Linked DNA regions of Xenopus tropicalis. The protein of the gene in region 7 purifies or fractionates together with the protein of the main gene of each other region. This does not show direct contact. Links are inferred from orthologs where the notes say so. Each region holds a gene or a part of one and is shown on either strand. Other genes may lie near its edges. The genes, in order: thoc2, alyref, thoc1, thoc7, thoc6, thoc5 and ncbp3.

What was found.
Region 1: the proteins of ncbp3 (region 7) and thoc2 purify together in Homo sapiens (co-immunoprecipitation; 3 studies listed by BioGRID and IntAct, with this or other methods). This does not show direct contact. The link is inferred for Xenopus tropicalis from reciprocal best matches to the Homo sapiens genes NCBP3 and THOC2.
Region 2: the proteins of ncbp3 (region 7) and alyref purify together in Homo sapiens (affinity purification with mass spectrometry; 4 studies listed by BioGRID and IntAct, with this or other methods). This does not show direct contact. The link is inferred for Xenopus tropicalis from reciprocal best matches to the Homo sapiens genes NCBP3 and ALYREF.
Region 3: the proteins of ncbp3 (region 7) and thoc1 purify together in Homo sapiens (co-immunoprecipitation; 4 studies listed by BioGRID and IntAct, with this or other methods). This does not show direct contact. The link is inferred for Xenopus tropicalis from reciprocal best matches to the Homo sapiens genes NCBP3 and THOC1.
Region 4: the proteins of ncbp3 (region 7) and thoc7 purify together in Homo sapiens (co-immunoprecipitation; 3 studies listed by BioGRID and IntAct, with this or other methods). This does not show direct contact. The link is inferred for Xenopus tropicalis from reciprocal best matches to the Homo sapiens genes NCBP3 and THOC7.
Region 5: the proteins of ncbp3 (region 7) and thoc6 purify together in Homo sapiens (co-immunoprecipitation; 3 studies listed by BioGRID and IntAct, with this or other methods). This does not show direct contact. The link is inferred for Xenopus tropicalis from reciprocal best matches to the Homo sapiens genes NCBP3 and THOC6.
Region 6: the proteins of ncbp3 (region 7) and thoc5 purify together in Homo sapiens (co-immunoprecipitation; 3 studies listed by BioGRID and IntAct, with this or other methods). This does not show direct contact. The link is inferred for Xenopus tropicalis from reciprocal best matches to the Homo sapiens genes NCBP3 and THOC5.

What each region holds. Positions count from the first base shown.
Region 1 is NC_030684.2:48,835,130-48,838,629, forward strand, and holds part of thoc2 (THO complex subunit 2), read right to left. Parts: coding exon 3,408-3,500; intron 2,701-3,407; coding exon 2,545-2,700; intron 1,955-2,544; coding exon 1,782-1,954; intron 432-1,781; coding exon 236-431; intron 1-235. UniProt on the Homo sapiens protein: Component of the THO subcomplex of the TREX complex which is thought to couple mRNA transcription, processing and nuclear export, and which specifically associates with spliced mRNA and not with unspliced pre-mRNA.
Region 2 is NC_030686.2:27,893,665-27,897,696, forward strand, and holds the start of alyref (THO complex subunit 4), read right to left. Parts: upstream 2,801-4,032; 5' UTR 2,796-2,800; coding exon 2,550-2,795; intron 1-2,549. UniProt on the Homo sapiens protein: Functions as an mRNA export adapter; component of the transcription/export (TREX) complex which is thought to couple mRNA transcription, processing and nuclear export, and specifically associates with spliced mRNA and not with unspliced pre-mRNA.
Region 3 is NC_030682.2:108,266,480-108,269,979, forward strand, and holds part of thoc1 (THO complex subunit 1), read left to right. Parts: intron 1-281; coding exon 282-348; intron 349-1,849; coding exon 1,850-1,968; intron 1,969-3,038; coding exon 3,039-3,087; intron 3,088-3,500. UniProt on the Homo sapiens protein: Component of the THO subcomplex of the TREX complex which is thought to couple mRNA transcription, processing and nuclear export, and which specifically associates with spliced mRNA and not with unspliced pre-mRNA.
Region 4 is NC_030680.2:145,033,231-145,037,504, reverse strand, and holds the start of thoc7 (THO complex subunit 7 homolog), read right to left. Parts: upstream 2,801-4,274; 5' UTR 2,762-2,800; coding exon 2,743-2,761; exon of another isoform or gene 2,584-2,742; intron 924-2,583; coding exon 806-923; intron 1-805. Other genes in the region: atxn7 (ataxin-7), read left to right, coding at 2,801-2,960. UniProt on the Homo sapiens protein: Component of the THO subcomplex of the TREX complex which is thought to couple mRNA transcription, processing and nuclear export, and which specifically associates with spliced mRNA and not with unspliced pre-mRNA.
Region 5 is NC_030685.2:12,483,242-12,486,741, forward strand, and holds part of thoc6 (THO complex subunit 6 homolog), read right to left. Parts: intron 2,582-3,500; coding exon 2,510-2,581; intron 558-2,509; coding exon 455-557; intron 356-454; coding exon 306-355; intron 1-305. UniProt on the Homo sapiens protein: Component of the THO subcomplex of the TREX complex which is thought to couple mRNA transcription, processing and nuclear export, and which specifically associates with spliced mRNA and not with unspliced pre-mRNA.
Region 6 is NC_030677.2:144,818,867-144,823,151, forward strand, and holds the start of thoc5 (THO complex subunit 5 homolog), read left to right. Parts: upstream 1-1,485; 5' UTR 1,486-1,629; intron 1,630-1,960; exon of another isoform or gene 1,961-1,977; intron 1,978-2,100; 5' UTR 2,101-2,103; coding exon of another isoform or gene 2,104-2,121; coding exon 2,122-2,202; intron 2,203-2,318; coding exon 2,319-2,462; intron 2,463-3,788; coding exon 3,789-3,902; intron 3,903-4,285. UniProt on the Homo sapiens protein: Component of the THO subcomplex of the TREX complex which is thought to couple mRNA transcription, processing and nuclear export, and which specifically associates with spliced mRNA and not with unspliced pre-mRNA.
Region 7 is NC_030678.2:48,495,625-48,499,124, reverse strand, and holds part of ncbp3 (nuclear cap-binding protein subunit 3), read right to left. Parts: intron 1,659-3,500; coding exon 1,533-1,658; intron 1-1,532. UniProt on the Homo sapiens protein: Associates with NCBP1/CBP80 to form an alternative cap-binding complex (CBC) which plays a key role in mRNA export. NCBP3 serves as adapter protein linking the capped RNAs (m7GpppG-capped RNA) to NCBP1/CBP80.

The DNA.
Region 1 (3,500 bases), on a different chromosome or scaffold from region 7:
AATCTATCTTGGGAACCTTATTACAGGTAGTAGCAATGCCAATAGGTTCTCTGCAACCATCTGGTAACAATATTTCACTTCTCTACCAGAAGAAATCAGAATTTTAGCTTCCATGATAGAACAAGTGATGACTTCATTTTGCACCTGTTCTCAGCGAAGACAGCAGTGAGACAACAAACCACTGGGCTAAGAACAAGTATAGTATTTTCCATACAAATAAATGCATCAAACATACCTCTTTCATTAATGCTTTTCCAAGTCTAACTATTTTAGCCAGCAAAATAGGGTCATGAGAAAGATGTGGGCCCAGGTAACAAAGCATAGTGAAAGCATCCCTCCTCAAATCTTCAAATGTTTCCGCTGGTTTTGGGGCTTTCTTGCTATGTAAAGGAACAATACGAGATCCTTTGGCACCCTTGGGTACCCCCGACCTATGAAACCAAATAGAGATACAAAAACAGTCCAATAGATATTTCACAGAAATTAAACATTAAGGGGGAATGTAATAAAAGTCTAGAGCCCCTGCAGAGAAATGAAAAAAAAAAACCAGCTAATAGCAAATGCGTGAATACAATACACATCCAGTGAAATTAGAGATTTTTGTACGTGCTTGCAAGTATTTCAACTCCGACTGCCAAATACAAGTTGCTTACGTGTAGTCAGAGCATACTTTAAACTTGCATCTAACAATTAGATGTCATTTGCATCTAAGTGCAAATTAAAAAAACTATCACTCAACTCTCTTTTGTTTTAGTATTATAGTCTCCAGTGCGCTAAATGTCTAACACTGCAGTCCTTTGGGCAACCTGAAGTCTCCTAACCATGATGGCTCAGTACACCCACACCAATTTAATAAGATAAAATATGTCATATACTACGCCTAAAGCAAAAGTCACTCCCCAGCTGTGACTATTTTCCCTCTATATTCTTCCATCAGAGACACATTACACCCTTATTTTGTATTTTCCTATTGGATATATTAAGGACTCACATTTACTATTTTCTCAGCAGTTATATTCTTGTTTAAACCAATGGCTCACTCATAGCCTGGCCCCAAATTTTATATCACTTCCTTATTGTGTTTATAATCCCAAGAAGACATGAGGACTAATATACATTCGCAGATGGAGTGAGTAAAAATCAATTACTGTCATTATGTTTTTCCCCAGAATGCAATAGTCATTGCAGCACCAAGGGGGGCATCACACCTGGCACAATTGTGTCAGATTTGCCAAAATTCAGTTGCGCTATTTTAGAAGTCTGCCTGGTGTAATTTCTGGTGTTTCGGGTGCTAGTGACGTCTGTGTCTGATTCTTTAGGCACAAGTGTGCTGCACCTATTCACACATGGCACAAAGGGAACCCTAGTGACCACTTGGTCAGGGGGTTGCAGTAGTTCCAGGGCTCCCTATGTCAACAGACACAGCAACTCCCAAATCGGAATGGTAAGGCAGGAAAAACTGAGCGGCACAGAGCACATTTTGATGAAAGTAACTTAAATGAAATTCGTTTTACACGCAACTTGCTGAGGAAAAAGGTGCACTGGGTCTGTAGCCCCTGGCCAACAAAATAACCATTGCAGGCATGGTCTGCCAATAATGGCCAAATAAGGAACTTTTAATACAAGGCACGGTGAGAGGTAACCTAAATCTATGCCAGTATAATTTTTCCCTAAGCCCAATTTAGCATTAAAAGTTAGGCCCTTTAAATAAGAATTGTTTAAAAAAAAAAAAAAAAATTTTGTAAGAATGCTAACCTAGCATAAGGACAATCTGGACTTACCTTCGGTAAAGTGGGTCAATAGTTTTATGAATAAGATCACACAGAGCCACGGCAATTGGTTTGTGTGAAGCAGCATAATATGGAGGCATCTGGTCCATAATACTTTGCGCATGTTGCCAGTCACCAATCCTTAGCAGTGATTCCAGCAAGCCCAGCTTCTGGTTGTCAGGAGGCTGAGAACAAAGAAGCCTCAGTAAACAACAGTGTATACTGCCATAAATTCTTCTAAAGCACAGTCAGGCCTGCCACCATTTAACACACACACCTCTTTGATCAGATTCTATTTACAGGTACTTAGCTAGGCATATACAATTTTTGGTGTTCGACCATGGAGGTTGGAAAGCTAGTGCTTATATTGTGCAATACTCAAACCTATGTCTTAATGGATTAATGTTCTTCAGTGGCCCAAAAAAGTGGAAAAGCTTGTTTGAACTAAAGAACTGAACTAAGTTCCTTTCAGAATGGCTGCTTATTTTTTTTAAGGAAGAGAAGAATTGAAGGCTCTATGTATCACCTATTTGCAGCAGCCACACCATGAGCATCTACACATTACATGAGACAGAGTAGGTCCAAAAATTATTATTCAACTTCAAAACATATTTACATTTACCCTTATGGGGGTGGGGTAATAACAATGTAATATCCTTAGATTGAGAATGGCAAAATAAAAAACTAAATCAAACCAATAATGTTACTGAAGAGATGCTAAGATTATCATTTAAAGCAAAACTTAATTTTAACAAACGGTGGTCAAAGAAGATACCTTTTCTGTCTTCTCTTCATCCTTTTCTTTTTCCTTATCTTTTTCTTCAGTTTTATCAGAGGTCAAGACCACCATGGTAAGCTTCCTGACAATCTGCTTGGCCTCTATCACTTCCCTCTTGTGTTCCTCAATAATGGTACTCTCTGCTGGAAGAAGCTGAAACAACACAGTGCAGTTATTTACCAACTGTATTTAACAGTCTACCTGTAGAGTCATGGGTTGGATGTAGCTTCTTAATTCGTTTTTATTGAACAGTGACTTCACAGACTTCTTTTATATAATCATTCTAATGTCAGGGGTCCCAACCTTACTCACTCATGAGCCACAGTCAAATGTAAAAATGCTTGAAGAGCAACACAAGCATCATAAACTTTCATGGAGGTTTAATATAAGGACTAAGATTGGCTATTAGGCAGCCTCTATGCACACTATCAGCTTACAGGAGGCTTTATTTGGTAGTAAATCTTGTTTTTATTCAACCTTAATGCCAACAAGTCAAGAATTCAAAAATAACTACTTGGTTTGGGGGCACCGAGAGCAGCATCCAAGGGGTTGGTGAGCAACATGGTCCTACGAGCCACTGGTTGGGGATCACTGCTAGCGTTATCAAAGTGGGATAACACTATTCTTAAAGATCCTTAGGTAAATTTCCATGAACTTATGATACCTCAATCCAATGAATATACCCTTTGCATTGTAAATGTTTCATTCAAGTAGACTATTGCTGGAATGAAAACTTGCAAAGTTGGGTTTGGACCTGCAGTTGGCTTGCTTTATTATAGCCTACTACACAGGGATTTAAAAGTGGCAGCTATAAATTTGTTTATAAATTAAAAAAAAAAAAGGCGCCACATTAAACTTACATGCACATAAAGATCCTCCAGTTCAATGAGATTGTTTTGCAAAAGCACAGCTGCTACTCTGTACAAAGAAGAAGGGGTTTCTCCACTGGGTTC
Region 2 (4,032 bases), on a different chromosome or scaffold from region 7:
ATAACGGCAGCTACAATCAGCCTGTGTATGGCCACCTTTAATCTAGCACAAACGCATGCTGGGAATCTTCCGTGCATCTACAATGACATCAGGGGGGTATGTTACAATATAATGTCAATTGCCAGTCAATACCAGTAATGCTATGCTAATAAGTTGCTAGGAGAAGCTGGAACATGCACAGTAGTGGAATATGGTGCCTGACCTCCTGGAAATTGCAAGTTGCAAAAAGCATGACGCTACCATTGGGTAAGCATTCTTAAACATAAGCTAAAGTAGGGTTTGGTAAATGGTCCTTACTGCAAAAACAGAAATTTGTATGCCAACATTTACCTTATATTTCACTGCCTGAGAAGTGCAGCATTACTTAGTAACTAACCTTTACAAGTACATGAGACCAGTTATCCAGAACGCTTGGGACCTGGGGCTTTCCAGATAAGGGATCTTTCTGGAATTTGGATCTTCATACCTTAAGTCTACTAAATATAATTTAAATATTGTACAAACCCAACAGGCTTATTTTGCCTCTGATAAGGATTAATTATATTTTAGTTAGGATCAAGTACATGGTAAAGTTTAATTACAAAGGAAAATTATTTTTTTATTAGAACTATTTGCTCATAATGCAAGAGATGGACTTTCCGTAATTTGGAACTTTTTGGATAACTGGTTTCTGGATAAGGGATCCCATAACTGCATAGCATATAGTTTAATGGACTGCGCTAACTAGGAATGAATAACAATGCGACATGCTTGCCCAGTGGTTCCCCAGCTGCATTTGGTTCTTGTAAAGTAGGCAGTTGATTACTAGCAATACCCCTCTGCAAAACATATCTACTTATCAATGAATTTGTTATCTACTTCCAAATAAAAACAACAAAGTAGCTTTAATCTACTAGTAAAAGTACTAGTATTTCAGCTTCACTTGTGCTGCGCAATAAAGGGGAATATTTCCCCTTTATCCTTTTTAGTAATATCTAGGGATTAAACATTTGCATTGCTATTACTTGCAGGGTAATATGGTATTACTTGCAGCCATAGTTCAGCAAAGAAATAGTGAAGGCATGACCGTTTAATGGTTAACTGATCTATGCAAGGACTCAAATTTTCTAAGGAAAAAAATAAAATGTATTTGGACATTTGTATAATGTAGCATCATGACATGAAAACACCTCATTGTGTAGCGTGCATCCCTTATATATAAATATATCCTTTTACAACACAACCCCAACAAATGTTACCAGCTTTACGCCTGTACACACCAAAACACTGAACCATGGGCACAATTTCTATAGAGACTACCAAGAGTGGCTGGTAGTCAGCTGAAAGCTCTGGCAGCTTCCATACATAGAGAAGGAAAGTGATTATAACTGCTTACCAGATACCCTGGGCCGGTGCACCTGTTCACTTAAAATGAAAGTTACAAACATTCCAGAATGTTAGCCCCCCTCAGTGAGACTGCACCAGTCGGGTGCAGACAAAGGGGTCCTCCTGTCTGAGCATGCCCAGTGGAGCAAAAAGCCAAAAGTTAAAAAAAAGCTGGTTTTCCACTCACCCATATGCAGTTAACCCCTTGTTGGTGCAGTTTTCTCCTTACAGGAGCACCCCCAGAGGTTTCAGGTAAGCGTTTACAATCACTGCAGGGATGTCCAATATCCCCCCCCCCCAGTGGTTGTACCTTTCCTTCTCTAAGGCTGGTGCAGTGTTTAGGGAACAGGGGTACTGGCCTGGGGTATCGGGTAAGCAATTATAAGCACTAGGGGACTAACATTTAACACCCCCCACCCTAAGCCCGGCTAACACTAACTGTTAGTGCAGTTGCTCAAACACTGTTGCAGCACAGCAATTCCATGAGCTGTAGGACAACTGGGTTTCCCATTTGGAAAAAAACATTTATCAGATATAAAAAATGTCAGGTGGGAAAGATATTCCAAGCTGAGCTGTAACTCCCAGGCCTGGCAATGGCACTAGGATTATCTACACTGTATGATTAGGGCCCACATTTGGCTCAGCCTCAGAACAAAAGTGAAGCTCATATCTCCATGTTTAACAACAAGAAAATCTAAGGAACTAACATTCATTTACAGAAATTCACGGAGAGATTAGCGCTTAGAGCTGTATAAGCCTCGGCCAGGAGCGCTGCCCCCTAACTTATACTCACAACCCCCCGCAGTAGCAGCCATGTTGGAAGTGCGGGAATCTTATGTTATTCTATTACTGTTACCGAGGAACTAGAGAAGCGCGGGCTCCCGGGGCCCAATCCCACCCGCCCAGCCCGGACCAGAAGGCCGACACCCGGGAGAAGCTGCTCCGGGATACGCTATCCCCTCCCCACGGAGCGCCGGACACAGGGGGCGGCCCCAGGCCCATAATCCCCCGTTGCGCAAACCTTCTCAGACCGGGCCCCAGCTCCTCGGTCCGGGCCTCATGGATGTCACCACTCCAGCAGCTGATCGGTCGGGCACACACCGAAACCTCTCCGGGCGGCTGCCTCCTCCGGTCACCGGCGCCTTTGTAAGGCCACAGGCCCTCCCTGCCCCCGCCTCTCCTACCCTGCTGTACGGTGCGGGCCGGTTCCTTCCGCCGCGGGTCAGGACAGGCCTTGACCGCATAGGCCCTCCGCCTCCCGCCGCTCCTCCTCCTCCTCCTCCGCGGCCTCCACCAATTCGGCCTCCGGCTCCTCCGCGGGCCGACCCGCCCCGAGCACCCCGTCCTCCACCCCGGCCCCTTCCGGCCGGTCTTTGGCTCCGATTAAGCTTGATGATATCATCTAGAGACATGTCCATTTTGTCCCCCATCGCGGCGATGTTTCTCAAGTTAACCGTGTAGCGTGCTCGGATGCGGCCTGTCCTGGAACAATACTACTATCCAGCCGGTGTGAGCCGCGCTTAAATAGCCCCGCCCCGCATATCCGGCACTCCCTGCGTCACTTCCGCCGGGTTAGGCTAACATTTAAACTAACAAACAAAAGTAACCTCTCTTTCAGTTCTTGCCACGAGTTGTTTCAAGGTGGGAGACTAAAGCCTAAACTGAAAATAAAGTTTATTTATAATGAGCTGCATCAGTTTCAGATTTTTCCAAGCGCCTCTATACCGATCGCTCCCCTGTATCTTGAAATGGAAGTGTTTAATTACGATACTTCTCACGTTGTTCCACAATTATGTTGGAACGCCAAACACGCTGATTATTTAATGCACATGTATAAAAAATGTAGTCCCTTGTGTGGTTTATAAGTATATTTGAAATCACAGACGTTTGTGTGAAAAATATGTTATATGTATTCTGATCCACCTCCTTGGTTTTTAAAAGGACACAAAAGATCATTTTTGAATGAACAGTGAATCAGAGAGAACATTCTCTCTAAGGAACAAAGCCATTTATAAAGCTTATAGACCTCAGTAGATTCTAAAATACTTTTACATTTTAGTAGGGGGTACATTATTATTTACAATCTACAAGTTTCAGGGGTCCCCGCTCCCCCCCCCCCAGCGCTTTCAGCAGGGGTCCCCAACCTTTCTTACCTGTGGGCCACACTCCTATGTGGACTGGCAGCCTAAATGAGGCTCTGTTTGGATTGCCTCCAATCCAGGAATTCAAAAATAAGCAGCTGCTTTGAGGCCATTGGGAGCAACATCCAAAGGGTTTGGGAAGAAACATGTTGCTCACAAACCACTGGTTGGGTATCACTGGCCCTCATGGGCCCTCACGCATATATCTAGAAAATATGGCCCTTTGCCTCGTGCCCTTCCATGTTTCTGATGTACAGGCAGGGCCGAAACTAGGGGTAGGCAGAAGAGGCAGCTGCCTAGGGTGCAACGATTTGGGGGCGCCAGGCAGGAGCCTCTCCTGCCTACCCCTGGCCTGCGTATGCAGGCCAAAGCACACACGAGGGGGGGTGGGGAAAGGTGCAGGGGCGAGGTGGCTGACCGGGTTGCCTACAGCTTGGCCCGCGCCTGTGTACTGGTGTGGCACTGCTCTATTAAAATGTTGTTTCAGTGTTACTTTAAGTTATAAATAGTGCAGTGTGATTTCAGA
Region 3 (3,500 bases), on a different chromosome or scaffold from region 7:
AAAATCAAAACATTAAACCCAATAGGATTGTTTTGTATCCAATAAGGATAAATTATTTCTTAGTTGGGATCAAATACAAGTTACTGGTTTATTTTTACAGAGAAAAAGGAAATTTAATTTGAAAAATCTGAATTAATTAATTAAAATGGAGTCTAAGAGAGACAGGCTTTCCGTAATTCAGAGCTTTTTGGATAATGCGTTTCTGAATAACAGATCCCATACCTGTATTTAAATTTCATTGTGTTAACAAACTTTGCTTCCCCTTATATTTGTCTCTGCAGATAAACCAAGTATCATGTGAAAACTGTCTAGCTATTATATCACTGGCCATAAATGGGGTTACAGATGGTAAGTATTAAATCAATGACAAATATATCATATTAAGAAGGTATAATTCATAGTGTCCAACCTCCTGTTTAGATTTTGGAATGTCTTACATTTCTGTGTAAAATGTGCCTATGGCAGACTGAGAATGAACAAAAGGAATTGTCCCTGAGAGAATTCAGCGATAGTCTTGCCTTGTTGATAGCTCAGAGCAAATTATTTCTATCTCTTAAATGCACTGAAGAGCCTGCATGTATGGGATTTGCATTATAAGGCAGCTTCTTCCTCAGTAAAATGAACCCAAGTAGAGTAAAAGCATTTGTACCAGGGTGCCAAAGCGGATTTGACTCTCCAGAAATACTACCTGAAATTCTATCTTTTATGTAAGCCTTTTGAAAAAACAAGAAATCAATTTGAAATCAAATTAAATTATCTCCTCCGTTGCCCCTTCCTGGTGCCAGCTTCTCCATACTAAACATTTTAATTCAACCTCATGTTCTATTTATTTATTTCTCTTCACATATCAGTTTTTTACTGTAATAATTTTTATTGCATCACATATATCCACTTTGCCCCTTCCACACTTGTGTTCAGTGGGACCAAAGGAAGTCTGAGTGTACATTTGACCCTCTTGGTTGGTGCTCCTGTTAGGAGAAAACAGTACCAGCCCGGTAGCTGCGAACGAGTGATCTTCTTCCTCCTGTCTTCTTTTTTTTTTTTGCGATCCCGGGGCTGACGTATGAACCGTAGAGTGAAAAATCCAGCTTTTTTGTTTAAGTTCATCTTCGCAGTCTACTGCGCATGCGCAAGCGACATAAAGACAGAAGAGGCTCGCTCTATCCCAGTTACCCTGGACTGGTGTGGGAGATTACAATCATTGGGGGGGGTGCCAAACATTTTGGCACCCCCAGTGACTGTACCTTTCCTCCTTTAAACACCCTCTTCTCTTTACTGCTCACCATCCTCTTTTTATCACATGTCATTTGAATAAAGGGACGATATTTAGTAAGACCAAGCAAGCTGCACTAAACACAATGGTTTACTTACTTGCTGTTATTTATTTTTTTTAAAAAGCGTGAGCTGCCCCTCGTGCTTGCTTTGGGTTTTTCCCATTAAGAATTCTGCAATTGGCTGCAAAATTGATGCCGTTTCTATGGAGACTGCCCAAGTTACTGTTCAAGTTACTGTTTTATTATTACAGAGAAAAGAGAAAAATAATGTTTAAAAATTAGAATTATTTGCTTTGTTATACAGGCAGGGTTGAACTGAGGGGTGAAGGGCCCTGCAGGTGTCCCTTAACCCCCCTCACAGGGTCCCCCACCTGACGTCCTACTCCGAGCACGTAAATTTAACATGGCAGGGAAGGAGCGGTCAGGCAGGGGGAGCACTGCAAGAGTCGGGTCTGGGCCGCCGGGGCCTACCGGGATTTTTCCTGGTGTCCCAACGGCCCAGTCTGACCCTGTATACAGGTGCTTTCTTTTGTTTTGGGGATGTTGCACAGTATTCTAACAATATATGTTTTCAGGTATTTGCACTGCAACGACACCATTTGTGCTCTTGGGAGATGTGCTTGACTGTCTGCCTCTAGCGTACTGCGACAAGATCTTCACTTTTGTTGAGAAAAATGTTGGTACCTGGAAATCTGTAAGTAAAGTTGTGTGTGCCCTTTTGAATGTATAGAGGCACTCCTATGCAAAAGAAGAATGATTCTACCATATTATCATTCTGTTCAACCCTCTCTATTTTTAGTATGTGTTTTACTAATTTACACACATCTGTACGTTCATGTAGTTAGCTACATTGATACCTGGTTACTGGTGCACGTATACTTCTTCTTGGACATAAATCACAGTGTGCAAAAGATTGTGTCAGGGAAAGTGACAGCGTGCATTATGCAATATATTACGTCTGCATCTCTAAAAACAAAAATGCTCATCAAGTAATTTTATTTTTAAGGCTACTACCAACTAATAGGGATTTGTACATTATTATTGTCATAGCCCTTAAAAACCTTTTACATGATGGAGCTGTGACGGGAGGGCACTCTTTGTATGTTTCTTTTTAATTGTTTCTTGTCAATTTAAAGACACAGTGCACCTTTCCAAAACTTATCATTTTCAAATGGTATATTGCAAATATTTTTATAAATCTTGTTTTCTGTTTTTTTACAGTTATTTTTTAATCTAGGTTAAATGCTAGGTTGTGACCTGCCAAATTTGATTTTGTGAGAATAAACTGCCCCGATAACCTTAAAATGATATGCCAATTCTAATTCTGTAAATTGTAAAGATACTTTAATGCTAAAACATTAACCACTATGCCTTTTCCAGGCCTTGTGTTAACTAAAGCCACTAAACAAAAAAACTGCTTATATATTTAACCTGTATCAGCCATATGAAACTTTGTCATGACTATGCTTTTGAATTCTGCACCTATTTTAGTCCTGGTCCCCATGTCATGATCACAGCCCTACTCCAGTTTCACCATTTTGTTACTGTGAATGCATAAATGTCACACTGAACTTGTCTCTACATGTGCAAGTAGAAATGGCCTAGGGAAGAGGGAACACCTATATCTGTCTGCACACAAAGAGTTTTTGTTCTGTGACTTGCTGCATGAAAACTGACCATTAATTCCACCCCCATGTTCTGAATCAAAATTCCAGTATATTTCTTATCACTAAATATCAGACAAAATCATAATTTTTCTTCTAGAATACATTTTACTCAGCGGGGAAAAACTACCTGCTACGGATGTGTAATGGTGAGTGCCCTATTTTCTTGTTTTTTTTTTTTAATAAAAATATTTGATTATTTTTAAGAATGCACCAAATCTAGGATTCAATTTGAGATTTGGCTAAATTCTTGCAATAATATAATTTCTATTTATTAGTTACAGGAGAACTTACAAGTTGCAAATAGAACACTTCTTTAGTAAGCAAACAGCAGGTCAATGCATTTCAATAAAGTTACAGCTTGTACAATAAGCAAAGGTATTACAAGCGTGCATACTAGTGGGATTTATTCCCCTCAATACAAATGGTCAAATTGTATCTCAGTGAGCTCCTTAGTAAATCCTTTCCTGCGTCTTGTAGGATAGCCAATATTGTATTGTACTTAGTGGCATGAGATTTTAATATAGCAGTACAAACACATTTATTCCTGGGCAGTAAGTAA
Region 4 (4,274 bases), on a different chromosome or scaffold from region 7:
GCTGTTAACTGGCCCATAGCATACAATCTCATTTCACAATGATGCCATCAGATGTGGCCTATGGAGCTCTTGACCATGTAGCAGGTCATATTTAACCCACGGGCTTTCAGTTGAATAGTCCAGACCTTTATGTTTACCTGAAGCAAAAAAAGACAAATACAACCCTACCCTTTTCTGGCTGCCCAGCAAGACTCACTTTAGTGCTTTCCTAGGGGACATTAGAACTGTTTTCGTCCTTCCTTGTCACCAAGAGATGTAATTAGTTAAACTTGGCAACCCATCTGCAATCCACTGAGCTACCTCATTGCGCTGGGAAGTGGCAAAGTGACAGCAGCCTTTCCACTTATCATACCTTTCAGTAGAGTTTTAGTATGGCTTTAGTGGTCCCATAAACATTCAGTTTCATATATACATCTGGTTTCCAACTTAGCAGTTATCTTATAAACACATTTGCAACCCAGTTGACACTGAAGTAAAATTAAAAAAAACCAATAGCAATCTTTGGTAAGCATGGGGTTCAAAATCTCCTTTCAGAGTAACCTGGATTCTGCCCTTCCTGTTGGACTGTTTCAGCACAGATTACTCAGCAATGATGGCCTTACATTTATACATATTTTCTGCTGCTTTCTCTTCCAGAGGGAAAATGAATTTTCCATAATTATGAAATCTCCACAAAGAATTTTACCAAGCAATAATTTTGGAATCATACTTTTCCCAGACATGATTAGAAACTGGTTGAAGCTTCAGTTCTGCTAATAAAAATAACATTGTGGAACTACTGCCACAGTCACTTGGTGCCTCTTACCCTTCTTCTTGGGAACCCGAGTTGCACCATTTCAGAAAACTCTTTACCAATAAGTTAATTCTTCGGTCGTCTCCGGCACCATCTCCATCAATCAAAAGTCTTTTGCGGATAACTTCATCTGGAAAAGAACAGAAGGAAATGGAAATAGTGGATTTTATTGCTGCTGCACAAAGACAGGTCACTGTGTAAGAGAAGGTTACCATCAAGCAGTTATACAGTAACAGAACAGGATAGATTTGGATACCCTGCCTAGCATCTCCAAGAATTCTAGATCCACAGAGAGAGACATCCCAGGTGGCAGTATATGTGCGCCATACTGGTGCCAAGTACCAAGTTACCTGGACTTAATTCAAAGGAATTGTCAAAGTAATTTTGCTTAGAAACATTGCATCTGCAAAAATCAAACATATCTAAATTTCATGAATAAGTGTGGATATGTGGTTTGGCCAGCCTGTGAAATCTAATGGAGGACTCTTGCAGATGGAAAGCTGATCACCATTTAGTTAAGGAGGCAAAGGTAAACCTAACAACAGAGATAGCAGACCAAGAGGGTGCAGGGTACCCAACAGGTATATTTAATAGACTTAACCCCATACTATCAGGGAGATAATGATATTTCCCATGAGTGGCCTGGAAAAACAATATTCCATATTACCATTTCTTGTAAAGTGGAACGTGGTCTTAAAAATGCCTGACAGTATCACTGATCTCCCTTATAAGACTGACATCTTATAAAAAGAACTGTGTGGTGTTCAGTCTGACATAAAATTTCAGAATCTTGAGGGCTATAAACCATGGCTGAAAGGCTGACTAAACTGATCATAACATGAGCTCTAAATGAAATTAAAAAGACTTGTGAGGGTGCTGATCATTATATAGAAATACACAGATTCACATATTATTATGATTATCTGGCCAAACAAACTACCTTGGGCAATGGTCACTGGTTTTTGATACAAAATGATACATGGTCATATCATATATCCTGTGCCAATATATAGCAGTCTATCTGCAATTTATGCAAGGCAACAATAGAAAATAATCCCACCTGAGTGCCCTGTGTGTAGCTGCCAGCAAATGAGACCCCCATTTTAAGTCACCAGTAACAGTGAAAAGTGAGTAGGTGAAATCTCTGTATACATACATTAAAGTATCCATAGGATTTATTGACAGCAGCACATGTATATTATATTGTGATATAGACAGCTTATCTGATTAGATTACTACATTTATCATATTTATAAGATAGAGACAGAGTAAAGGTACATAAATATAATTCATACAAAATAATAGTGGCTGTAAATTGTCCCTAGCACCTTGGGCAATGGTGACTGGTTTATTGATACAAAATAATATAAAATATATAGCAGTCTGTCTACAATTTATGCCAGGCAACTTTATAAAAACCCTACTTGAGTGCCCTGTGTGTGTAGCTAACAGTCAATGAGACCCATTAAGTCACCAGTAACAGTGAAAAAGTGAGTAGGTGAAATCTCTGTATACATAAAAGTATCCATAGGATATATACACAGCGGTACATGTACATTAGGATATAGACAGATTATCTGATTAGATTACTATATATATATATCATACCCATAAGATAGAGACAGAGTACATCCATTCATACAGAATAACAGTGGCGGTATAAATATATATTGTCCCTAGGATAGATACAGCAGCGATATATATACTATCCATATGAGACTAAGTAGCACTACATAAATATATATATAATATTATCCATATAAGATACGCTGAGCGGGGAGTAGGGCCGGAAGTCCGTACCGCTCTCCTTCCCCCAGAGCCCTAACTCGAGCCCGGGGCTTTGCGGCCTAGCCGGCCGGTGTGGGTTTCCCGCGGTCGGTACCCGGGCAGGCAGAGCTGAGGCCGAGCCGGAGGGTGTAGGCGGTGGGGTAGGAGGGCGCTGTACTTACCGTCGGTGACGGCTCCCATGGCGGTGGCGGCGAGTAGCAGTGAGGTCAGACTCCCAGAATGCAGCAGCGGCGGCAGCAGCCGGAGAGACAGGCAGGAGCATGGAGGCCTCGGTCACCGCCTCGCCTTCCCTATAAGCTCCCCCCAGTGTCGGGCGGCCCAGCGCCTCCTGCCCACAGCCGGACACACAGCCCCAGGCAGGCCTCCCCGGGCCCCGCAGGTAAGTGCCACTCAGCTGGGAGTCACAGCCCCATTCCCTTTCCTCATTCCTGACATGATTATTGCCCCGAGTATTTATATTTCTACATAACTGCACTGCAATCCGTGCTGCCCTGGGACCTGCTGCCATTATACCAGTACTGGCACTCCATTACTAGCTCTAGTACTCCCCATTACTTACACTAGCACTAGTACTCCCCATTACTTACACTAGCACTAGTACTCCCCATTACTTACACTAGCACTAGTACTCCCCATTACTTACACTAGCACTAGTACTCCCCATTACTTACACTAGCACTAGTACTCCCCATTACTTACACTAGCACTAGTACTCCCCATTACTTACACTAGCACTAGTACTCCCCATTACTTACACTAGCACTAGTACTCCCCATTACTTAGACTAGCACTAGTACTCCCCATTACTTACACTAGCACTAGTACTCCCCATTACTTACACTAGCACTAGTACTCCCCATTACTTAGACTAGCACTAGTACTCCCCATTACTTACACTAGCACTAGTACTCCCCATTACTTACACTAGCACTAGTACTCCCCATTACTTACACTAGCACTAGTACTCCCCATTACTTAGACTAGCACTAGTACTCCCCATTACTTACACTAGCACTAGTACTCCCCATTACTTAGACTAGCACTAGTACTCCCCATTACTTACACTAGCACTAGTACTCCCCATTACTTACACTAGCACTAGTACTCCCCATTACTTACACTAGCACTAGTACTCCCCATTACTTAGACTAGCACTAGTACTCCCCATTACTTACACTAGCACTAGTACTCCCCATTACTTACACTAGCACTAGTACTCCCCATTACTTAGACTAGCACTAGTACTCCCCATTACTTACACTAGCACTAGTACTCCCCATTACTTACACTAGCACTAGTACTCCCCATTACTTACACTAGCACTAGTACTCCCCATTACTTACACTAGCACTAGTACTCCCCATTACTTACACTAGCACTAGTACTCCCCATTACTTACACTAGCACTAGTACTCCCCATTACTTACACTAGCACTAGTACTCCCCATTACTTACACTAGCACTAGTACTCCCCATTACTTACACTAGCACTAGTACTCCCCAATACTTACACTAGCACTAGTACTCCCCATTACTTAGACTAGCACTAGTACTCCCCATTACTTACACTAGCACTAGTACTCCCCATTACTTAGACTAGCACTAGTACTCCCCATTACTTACACAAGCACTAGTACTCCCCATTACTTACACTAGCACTAGTACTCCCCATTACTTAGACTAGCACTAGTAC
Region 5 (3,500 bases), on a different chromosome or scaffold from region 7:
CTTTTTAAACAATGTTGCAAAGGTCTGGCTCCTCCAGAAAGACAGGTCTGTCAGGCTGCTGCCTCGTGTAACATTGTTTCATATGCCGGGGAATCGAAAAGGCCAGACACACACTGCTTCTAATAGAAATTACATATATACAAATAACAGAAAACCACTACATATGTATAATGAATGTATACTGCAAAGTTGCTTAGAATTTTGTTTTCTTTTATAAGGAATTTTGGGTTGACTTGCCCTTTAATTCCACCCAAATCGTCTTTATAGGGATAGTGCAGTGGGAACCTCATATTTCTCAGTGTTACCTCATATTTATAGACTTCAATCTTGTGAGTCTGAGCCCCATTTCGAAGATCTGCAAGAAGAGATGATGATGAGGAGGAGGAGAAGGAGGAGGAAGAGGATGATTTAGACAATATCAATAAATACTATGATACTCCATTCACACTCTCACCCCATATCCTGACAGTTCCATCTTCGCCGCCGGACACGCACTCCCTCTGCTGCTCACGCAGGGCCAAGCAGTGAATATAATCCTCGTGTCCTTCCAGCGCCATCTACAGACCAATGAGACGGTTAAAGGGGAACTTTGCCTTTACAGAAACTTTGCCGATTAGAAAAGGAACTTTTTCATGGACCTAATATGGTTTTTAAATGAATAGCCTTCCTATTCTGTCTCTTGATGGCATGCAATTAAAAAAAGCTATTTGGTTGTCAGGGTCACTGCCCCTAGCAACCAAAAAAAAAACTTCTTCAACATTAAATTTAAAGGGGTGGTTTACCAATATGTTCTAAGCAACTTTCCAATTGGTCTTCATTTTTTTTATCTTTTATAGTTTTTGAATTATTTGCCTTCTACTTCTTCCTCTGTTCAGCTTTCAAATGGGGGTCACTGACCCCGGCAAAAAACTTTTGCTCTGTGAGGCTCCAGTTTTATTGTTATTATTACTTATCTTTTTATTCAGCCCCTCTACTATTCATATATCAGTCACTCTCTCAAACCACTACCTGGTTACTAAGGTCAATTGGACCCTAGCAACCAGAGAACTGCTGAAATTCTAACCTGGGGAGCTGCGGAACAAAAAGTAAAATAATGAAAAAACTACAAATAATAAAAAATGAAGACCAATTGCAAATTGTCTCAAAATATCACTCTCTACATCATACTAACGTTAACCCAAAGGTAAATGTGCCATCCGGTTAGTAAAGTCACTAATCCTAAGGGGTATGTTACAGAATGGCATATTCTTAGCACCTTTGCAATTAGTCTTCACTTTTTATTTTGTATAGTTTTGAACTATTTGCCTTCCTCTTCTGACTCTTTCCAGCTTTCAAATGGGGGTCACTGACCCCGGCAGCCAAAAACTATTGCTCTGTGAGGCTCCAGTTTTATTGTTATTATTACTTTTTATTACTTATCTTTTTATTCAGCCCCTCTACTATTCATATATCACTCTCTCAAACCACCCCCTGGTTACTAAGGTAAATTGGACCCTAGCAACCAGAGAACTGCTGAAATTCCAAACTGGAGAGCTGCGGAACAAAAAGTAAAATAATGAAAAAACTACCAATGATAAAAAATGAAGACCAATTGCAAATTGTCTCAAAATATCACTCTCTAAAGTTAACCCAAAGTTAAACAATCCCTTAAATGTGCCATCCGGTTAGTAAAGTCACTAATCCTAAGGGGTATGTTACAGAATGGCCTATTCTTAGCACCTTTGCAATTAGTCTTCACTTTTTATTTTGTATAGTTTCTGAGTTATTTCCTTTCGTTTTCTGACTCTTTCCAGCTTTCAAAAGGGGGTCACTGACCCCGGAAGCCATACAGGATAGTTTTGTGAGGCTAAAACGTTGTTACTTTTTATTACCTTGCCTATTCAGGCCCTCTATGTTCACATTCCAGTCCCTCATTCAAACCAATGCCTGGTTGCTAAGGTAATTTAGACCTAAGCAATGTGCTGAATTTCCAAACTGGAGAGCTACTGAACAGAACGCTAAATATTTAAAAAACAACAAATAATAAAAAATGAAGACCAATTGCAAAATGTCTTAGAACATCACCATGTACATCATACTAAAAGTTATTTTAAAGGTGAACAACCCCCTTTCACTACGTATTTATATATAGGCACCCAAGTTGCCGCCCTCTGGCCCTAAGGTGTGTGTATAGAATGGGTTCAAGGTACTTGGCAATGGGAAGAACCTGCTGCAGGGTGTGGGTGTTTAGACAACAACAGACGTCAGCCCCACACCCCGTATGACATAAGCCTCAAGTCCAGGAAGCAAAACTACCAACAGTGCAGATTTTATGGTTTTATTATTCTGATGACCAATCTGACTTCTCAGGTTCATTTCTATCCATGAACAATAGCAGTGAGGACCTGAGGGAGCTGAGAGAGCCAGGAGGGCCTGTGGGCCACATTCAGCTCATAGGCTTCCATTGGCTGCAGCACGTGCAACAGACACCAATCACAAGACTCATACTAAGCCACACCCCCATACTTACCGTAAAGGTTCCACTCTCCAAGTCCATAGAATGAATGTTGCATGTCCCCCCAGCAAGGAGCAAGGAGTTATCCTGAGAGGAAATAGCAATGAAGGAAACAAAATCAAAACAGTGAGGAATAGGCATGAGGGCTTTCCATAAAGGTGTTTAGGGGGGAGGAGTTTAGAAGTAAATGTAGGGAGAAACAGAGGTTTGGGGTACTGGTTGTACTGGGCAATAAAATGGGTGGGTGGTGTAAGGCTATAGGTAGTTACCCTAGTGAGCAGGCAGCAGGGCAGAGTTCATCAGGGTGATATTTAGAGGTGAGAAGATAATGACTAGGAATGGGTTTTATGTAAGTAAGTGGGGGCTGGTTGAACTGCAGCTTGCTGGTGGGGGGAGTTAGAGTAAAGCAGGGCCGGAACTAATGGGAAATGATGGAGATGGGGGGGCGCTAGGCAGGTACTTCTTCTGCCTACCCTTAAGGTCCCCATACACGTTGAGATTCGCTTGCTTGGCTAGATGGGTGGGCGATATCGGGGAGCGTGTAGGTAAAAAAAAAAAATAATAATTAGATCGTTTGGCCCCAGGGCCATATATTGGCAGCAATGGGGCAGTCGGTTCGGGGGCACCTGGCCGATCGATATTTGGCCGATTTCAGGCCAGATATTAGTCAGGCATGCCCCTCGTTTATGCCCCTACACGGGCCGATAAGTTGCCGAATCAGTCCAAGGGACCGATATCGGCAGCTACAATCGGCCTGTGTATGGGGACCTTAAGTCAGGACTCTCTTGGCCCCACTGTAATGCTCCCCCACACACGCTCATGTGTGCACTCTTTAGTGTGCACGTGTTGCACATATGGGGGGGTGAGGAGGCCGACCAGGTGGCCTAGGGCACCCAGGGGGCTAGGCCCACCTCTGGAGTAAAGAAGGGAGGGATGGAGGCTGCTGGGAAAGGAAGATAAGTGAAGACGGGTAAGGAGAGGCAGGAAGGTTATTAGAGAGGAGAAT
Region 6 (4,285 bases), on a different chromosome or scaffold from region 7:
GGTCACTTTTCTATACTAATCCTCCTAGATTTATCGGCTGCGTTTGATACGGTTGACCACTCCCTCCTGATGCAGATTCTGCATTCGATTGGTCTCCGTAGTCAGGCCGCATCCTGGATCTCCTCTTACCTCTCTAACCGTTCATTCACTGTCTCCTATGCTAACACCTCATCTCCAGTTCCTCTTAATGTGGGGGTACCCCAAGGCTCTGTACTTGGGCCGTTGTTGTTCTCCCTTTACACGCTGTCTTTGGGAGATCCTATCCGTTCATTTGGTTTTAAATATCATCTGTATGCTGATGATACCCAAATTTACTTTTCGACCCCTTCGTTAACAGTCGAAACTGAGACTCAAATCTCTAACTGCCTCCTGGCTATCTCTAATTGGATGAACCAACACCACCTCAAACTGAACCTAACAAAAACTGAACTAATGATCTTTCCGCCTAAGCCTGGTCCTACCCCCCTCTTTTCTATCTCTATTGATGGCACCCTCATCAACCCTGTCGATTCGGCACGTTGTTTGGGGGTGATCTTTGACTCCTGTCTCTCCTTCTCTGACCATATTAACACCACTGTCAAAACCTGTCACTTTTTCCTGCGCAATATTGCCAAAATCCGTCCCTTTCTCTCTACTGCAACATCTAGGCTGCTCATGCATGCTCTCATCCTATCCCGACTTGACTCTTGTAACCTGCTACTAATCGGCCTCCCTAACTCCCATCTTTCCCCCCTACAGTCTATATTAAACACTGCTGCCAGAATTCTCATCCAGGAGAGTTCAGGCCCTTACCTGCTAAAGTCCTTATCGTGGCATAATTCACAATGTACTAAGGGGGCCCCGCAGTTGGTAAGGCCGGCCCTGCTTGGGATAATGAACCTGTGAAGTGACCCTACCTGCACCCAGGGATTCCATCATATCCCCGTACTTACACTACTTAGCATTTAATAGGGCTGCTTGCAGTCCCAGACCTATAGATGTGCCGTATTTTAAGCACCTGCTTTGTTCTTTCTGGAAAAAGGGTGGGGGAGAGCTAGGAACAAGCACTGTCCTTGTGCTTAGCTGAGGTACAGGCTGTCTGATCAATCATTCGTCACAGAACGCTCCATTCACAGGCGCAAGAGCATCAGGAAGATACGAAAAGCTACGCTGCATAACGCAGGTTCACTTGTGTATCCAATAATAATGGAATAAACACACACAAACTTAAATGAGTACAGTTTTATTGGTCTTAGTTTGCACAAAACCTCCTTCCGTGTTGGTTAAATTTGGAGAATAGGCTTCGTTAGCAATAACGGAAATACTTTATTTTAGTTCCCTGGCGCAGAGCTGTACATTTAAACAAAAATAAATGACTGCTAAGGAAATCGGAAGCGGAGGTAGCAGGTGCCACAGTGGAATGCAAAGTCCTTGTCCGATTTATCATTCGCTTCCGACTGTGTAACGTCCGCTTACGCCGGCTCGTCACTCACACAGGCGGCTACGTGATGCGTCATGTATCGTTGTGACGCAAGTCTCGCGAGATGATTCTTACGGTGTGGGGATAGTAGGGGAAGGAGCTTACACTCATTTAAGCGACTGCCTTTCTTTTTGAAGTCGGAGCTGAGAAAAGGGGACCAAATAATCCAAGTAAGTGCAGCGCAGCCAGGCCCCCCTGAACACCCAAAACCCATCGGCCCTGGACGGCTGCCCCCCGCCAATGTTGGCCCTGCAGGGGGTGGGGGGTAAAATACTTCTAAATTTACCATTAACGTTAACTTGCCATAGTCAACCACATTTAGACAATATTGTAGAAATATTATGAATTTGCTACTGGATTCTCAATTCATACTTGGCAGTGGACATCTGTTAAGTTTCATTGTGCCATTTATTAGACCTCTCCAGCTTGCAGTTATTCATTCTTGTTTTTGTGGTTTTGTTTTTTTCTATTTTGCAATTTCACACTTTGCTGGGTTGCAGGAAATTGCAGGCAAACAGGTACTAGGGTCCTACTGGATAGATTTCTTTATTATATATTATCTGACTTTTAATTCTATGAATTATTTATTTACTAGTATAGTGATTATGTACAGTTGAACAAAAAATATTTGTGTCTTATAGTATATGCCAAACCAGATAGAAATGTCTTCAGATTCTTTAAAGAAAAGAAAGCCCAAAGTAAATCGAAATGAGGATGGCAAGAGAGGTCGCCACGACGAGCAGGTAACCTACTGTGTGTTTAATGCACTGATGTTCAGTCTACTGTGTTCATATATTTTTGTTATGGTGTAGAACTTTATTCTGATATTTACACTTTTTATTGCTTTCTGATATGGCAGGAGGGTCGATATTACAGTGAAGAGGCTGAAGTAGATGTACGAGATCCAAGAGAAGACTATCAACTATACAAAGACACTTGTCTTGATTTGCAGAGATTGATGTCTGAAATCCAAGATTTAAAGAACAAAGGAGGCAAAGACAGTGTGAGTGTGCTAAAAAAGGCCACTATACTCTCATATGCTGCTGAGTATTAAAGAGGATTATCATGTAGACAGTACAGGAAAATGAAAGCAGTGTTTTTATGTACTGAATGTACTGTACGAGTCTAGAGGCTTACAAATCCCTGTATGATTAACAATCTATGACTTCAATGTTGTCCATAACAACTCCCTGTCTTGCATGTTTTTATGCCATTGGTTGAGTGCCATTAGTACTATGCATGCTCAGTGGGGCTGGAGTTTAGCTCTGACAGAAGCATTTACTATCATTATACAGTAATGCTTTCTGCTTGTTGGAGCTGGTCACCCCCCAAACACATTACACAATACAGCCTTGCCCTGATGAGATTATGAGAGAAAGGTGATTTACAAAATGTGCATCCAAGTGATAACTAATTTTGCAGCAGGAATCCAATGCCATTCCTTTGAGGTATTAGTGGAATTTATTAGAAATATGGTTGTTTGATTTAATGAAACAGTTTTTTTGTCTTTTTATCCTGAAGGCTAGTTATTTGCAAACTATGTTTGATTGCTGTTATAGAAAGTCCAAGCAACGCTCTGAAAGTGGCTTTAATTGGCTTCTTACAAGGCAGCTGACTCTGCTCTGATTTAAGTATTGTATAAATTAACTTGTTGGTAAATCTATTCTACTGACTCTTCTTGGTGATTCTGTCATTAGTCTCACTGAGAGAGGCTTTATTGGTCATGTGTGGTGTTCTGGGTTGACCAGTCAGGTCTCTTTGTTTAGGGCCAGGTTTGGGCTAGAGGCTATTTTATTATAGCAGCTGATTTCCAAATATGCCATTTGATGCATAGCTTTCATTTGATTACCTTTTGAACCACCAATTATTCAAGCTAGGAGCTTCAGTAGCCAGGGTTTTAAAGAAGAAGGAAAGGTAAAAACTAAGTAAGTTTTATCAGAAAGGTCCATGTAAATACAGTCATAAGCACTCGCAGAAACGCTGCACTGATTTTTCGATCAAAAGAAACAGGATTTTTTGTCACCTGTGCCAGAGAAACGCAGCTCTCTCCTCTCTTGCTTCCCCCTCCCTCAAGAATGCTAAGAACTCCCCCCCCCCCCCCCCCCCCCTTAGGAATGTGGATCTGAGCCAATCAGCTTCCTCATAGTCTTACAAACTGAGCATGTACACCTGTCTTGGTGCAGGAGCGAGGCATTATGGGAACTTTCTTTACAAAGCTCAGTGATTTTTTTTTTTCCTACATTATATATGTCCTTTAGCAGTGGGACACAGAGCTTTATAAATTGTTCTAGTTGCATGATATATTTAAAGTGGCCACTTCCTTCCTCAGGCTATGGAGATAGAAGAAAAAAAGGTCCAAAGCTGTGTTCACTTCATGACTCTGAAGAAGCTCAATCGCTTGGCCCACATTCGACTTAAGAAAGCTCGAGACCAAACTCATGAGGTAGGTCTGTCCCTTACTTTCTAATATACTCTGCAAAGGAAGAATAGAGTTTTACTTTTCTATATATGTTCTATAAATTATAGGGTCTTAGGTTATTTTGTTTGTGTTTATTATTTGTGAGGAAGATAATTCTGCCCATCAAAGGCAATATTAGACACCATGCATAGGCTGTAGTGAAACTGAGCCTGATAAATAGTTGAATGCTTGCTTTGGCTTTTTAATTTAACAGGTTTCTGACTTTGCAGTTAAACTTGTTTTATTCATCTAGTTTCAATTGTGTCAGCATCAAGGCAGTGTGCAGAGTTTTCTTTGCTTAAGAAATCATGAAATTTCATGAAATTCGAATTCGTGGTTTTAGCTGCAAAAAAAAAGTCAAATTTGAA
Region 7 (3,500 bases):
GATTGGTTTTAATAAAGGTGGGTTGTGCTCTATACCATGTATTTATAGATTAGCATGAAACACATTAGGCTTTGTATATGGGGTTTGTTTTAACGGATTATAATAAAGATGTTTATTAAAAAAAATAACTTTTTGGTTGTTGCGGACTCAATCTTTAAATTCAACTGAAAGGAAATCATAAAAAGCAAGTCTGGTGAACTAACTAACCCTTACCTTAAATAAACTCTAAAAATTACTAATTACCAATTAGCCTTGTATAGTATTTATTATACACTGTATATACAGCATATTGTGTGTCGGTCCCTAAGCTCAGGTGAGTGACAGCAGCACAGAGCATGGGCAGGTTATCAGCAGAAAAGAAGATAGGGGGATTGGAGGCACAGATCTTCCCTGCTAAAGGGCTGTGGTTGCCTTGGGCTGGTACATAAACCCAAAACATAATGTACATCACCGTTAGCAAAAACTACTTAAAGGAAAACTAAATCTCCAAAGAAGTAGGCTAACAGGTTCTGTACCAGCCCAAGGTAATTATTAATGGGGCAGTATGACCCCTTGTTCAACATGTTCAACAATGTTTTTTGTTATTTCTTTATCTACACAGAGAAATAAAAAAACTGAAACTACTCCATGTTTGGATTTTACAAGTTAATACAGGTATGGGATCCTTTATTCTCAAACCCATTATCCGGAAAGCTTCAAATTACGGGAAGGCGTAATAGATGCCATATTAATCAAATAATTCAAGAATATTAAATATATTTTCTTTTGCTCTGAAATAATAAAACAGTACCTTGTACTAGATCTCAACTGAGATATAATTACTGCTTATTGGAGGCAAAGCAATCCTTCGGAGTTTAATAACTTTCAACAATTTTTTTTAGCAGACTTAAAGCATGGAGATCAAAATTATGGACAGACCCCTTATCTGGAAAACCTGAGGTCCCAAGCATTCTGGATAACAGGTCCCATAAATATAAACAGATTACCAGAGCACAGATAAACAACTGAATAAATGAACTCCTTCTAACAAAACCGCCACAATAAAATAGTGACAGAAGGGCTCAGTATCTATAAGTAAGTTAACTAATGGTAGGATAGTAAGTGTGGAAGCAAAACATTGTTCTCTTACTGTTTTACAACACAAATAACTAAAAACTATGTATTTTTAGGGCGAAGACACATGGGGCGATTAGTCGTGGTGATGGCCATTGTACTCGCTGAAACTGGCTTCATTAACAGTCGTGGCGACTAATCGCCCAGTGTGTCTTCTCCCTTTTATTTATTTATATTAATAATCATTTACATTGTTTTTTCACATGTACTTTCAGCACAGGTTCTGTTTATTTTGCTCATGTTGCAAAAGGGTGTTATAGGTGCATACTGCTCCTTTAAAATGTTTTAACCTGAAACAAGATATCATTTTGTGGGACTAAAAGCTCCAAAGAGGTATTGTGCATGCAGTTATCCTAAAAACCATTATGGGTATGAGAGTAATGATTATGTCAGATGGCGAGATAAAAAGAAGAATTTACCCTTTTTGGATCTGGCAGAACTGTGCTCTCCATCTTTTTTTCTTTGGCCTTTTTCATTAGTGGGCATACTGCTTAGGTTTAACAAAGCACGAGACGGAGTTACCTCATCCAGCCACACAACGTTACCTAAGGAGAAAATGCAAAACTAAATCATGAACACAGCTTGCATAGATTGCTGGCACACATCTGTACAGTAAAATACACAGCATTCTAAAATGTGCAATCAAAGGATTCAACATGGAAAGGAAATACAACAATTTATTCACTGTTTTAGTCTAAAGTGAAACAATTAACAGTCCATAGTTGCAGTATGTCCAGTACCAAGTGCATTAGGAAGCACACCACCCACATAAAGTTAAACATCTGTAACAAAAAATACAGAAAACAAATTTTGGAGACTTTGACCCTGTCTATCACAGAAGTGGTGCGCTGGTGAGAGGTATGTATAGTTCTAAACAATGCTAACTTTCACTATATAATACATTTCTCTCACTGGCTGGTAGGTAAAACCTATCCAATATGTTAAACTTGTGTCAGTTTGGGGACCATAAACCCCAGCTTTTAGCATTAATCATTCCTTAGACAAAAAGGAAAAGAATTCACTGACTAAGGAATTTAAATACCTTAATTTAATGTATATTCAGTGTTGGATGTTCAAGTAAGATTTCTCGTTTGCACACATAAAACATACACAACAGTGGAAATACATTCCAAATTCCCTGCTCTACCATAAACCCTGAAAAACACAAAAAAGCTGTCTTTAGCCACTGTAATAAACTGCATGAGTTCTTTGTATGGAGCTTTCACAGAATCATTCATTGAGTAGAGTATGGTGCAAATGGCTTATGAATTGGGCAGCTTATAGGACACAAGGGTGAGCTTTTACTATTGATACAAATATATCTAAGGAGCAGAAAGAGGGCCACATCAATCAGCTTATTACCAATTGCTTTTTGGTGCGGTGCATACATAATGGTATGCACCATTATGTACTTTATGTACTGCACATTAAAGGAGAAAGAAAGGTAAAAACTAAGTAAGCTTTATCAGAAAGGTCTATGTAAATACAGCCATAAGAAATTACAAAAGATTAGTTGCGTCTGTTTTCCTCTGCCAGAGACAGGCAGCTCTCTGCTCTCTCCTGCTCCCGCCCTCCCTCAAGAATGCTAAGAACTCACTCCCCCCCTTAGGAAGGTGGATCTGAGCCAATCAGCAGGAAGCTGACTCATAGGGGCTGATTTACTAACCCACGAATCCGACCCGAATTGGAAAAGTTCCGACTTGAAAACGAACATTTTGCGACTTTTTCGTATGTTTTGCGATTTTTTCGGATTCTGTACGAATTTTTCGGATCCAATACGATTTTTGCGTAAAAACGCGAGTTTTTCGTATCCATTACGAAAGTTGTGTAAAAAGTTGCGCATTTTGCGTAGCGTTAAAACTTACGCGAAAAGTTGCGCATTTTTCGTAGCGTTAAAACTTAACGCTACGAAAAATGCGCAACTTTTCACGTAAGTTTTAACGCTACGCAAAATGCGCAACTTTTTTACGCAACTTTCGTAATGGATAGGAAAACTCGCGTTTTTACGCAAAAATCGTATTGGATCCGAAAAATTCGTACAGAATCCGAAAAAATCGCAAAACATACGAAAAAATCGCAAAGTACCGATCATTACGAAAAAAACGCAATCGGACTCCATTCGACCCGTTCGTGGGTAAGTAAATCAGCCCCATAGTCTAACTGAGCATGTACACAGGTCTTGCTCTTGGTGCAGGAGTGAGGCATTATGGGAACTTTCTCTACAGAGCTCAGTTTTTTCTTCCTGTGTGGCTTCTGATAATCTGAATGGGAGAAATATGCGGAGACTTAAGGGCACTATTGAGAGAAGGGAAGGTATGCCTGCAGCTTGAGATGAACTCTTTATTAGCCTTTCCTTCTCCTTTAAATACTTATGTATGCACGGTATA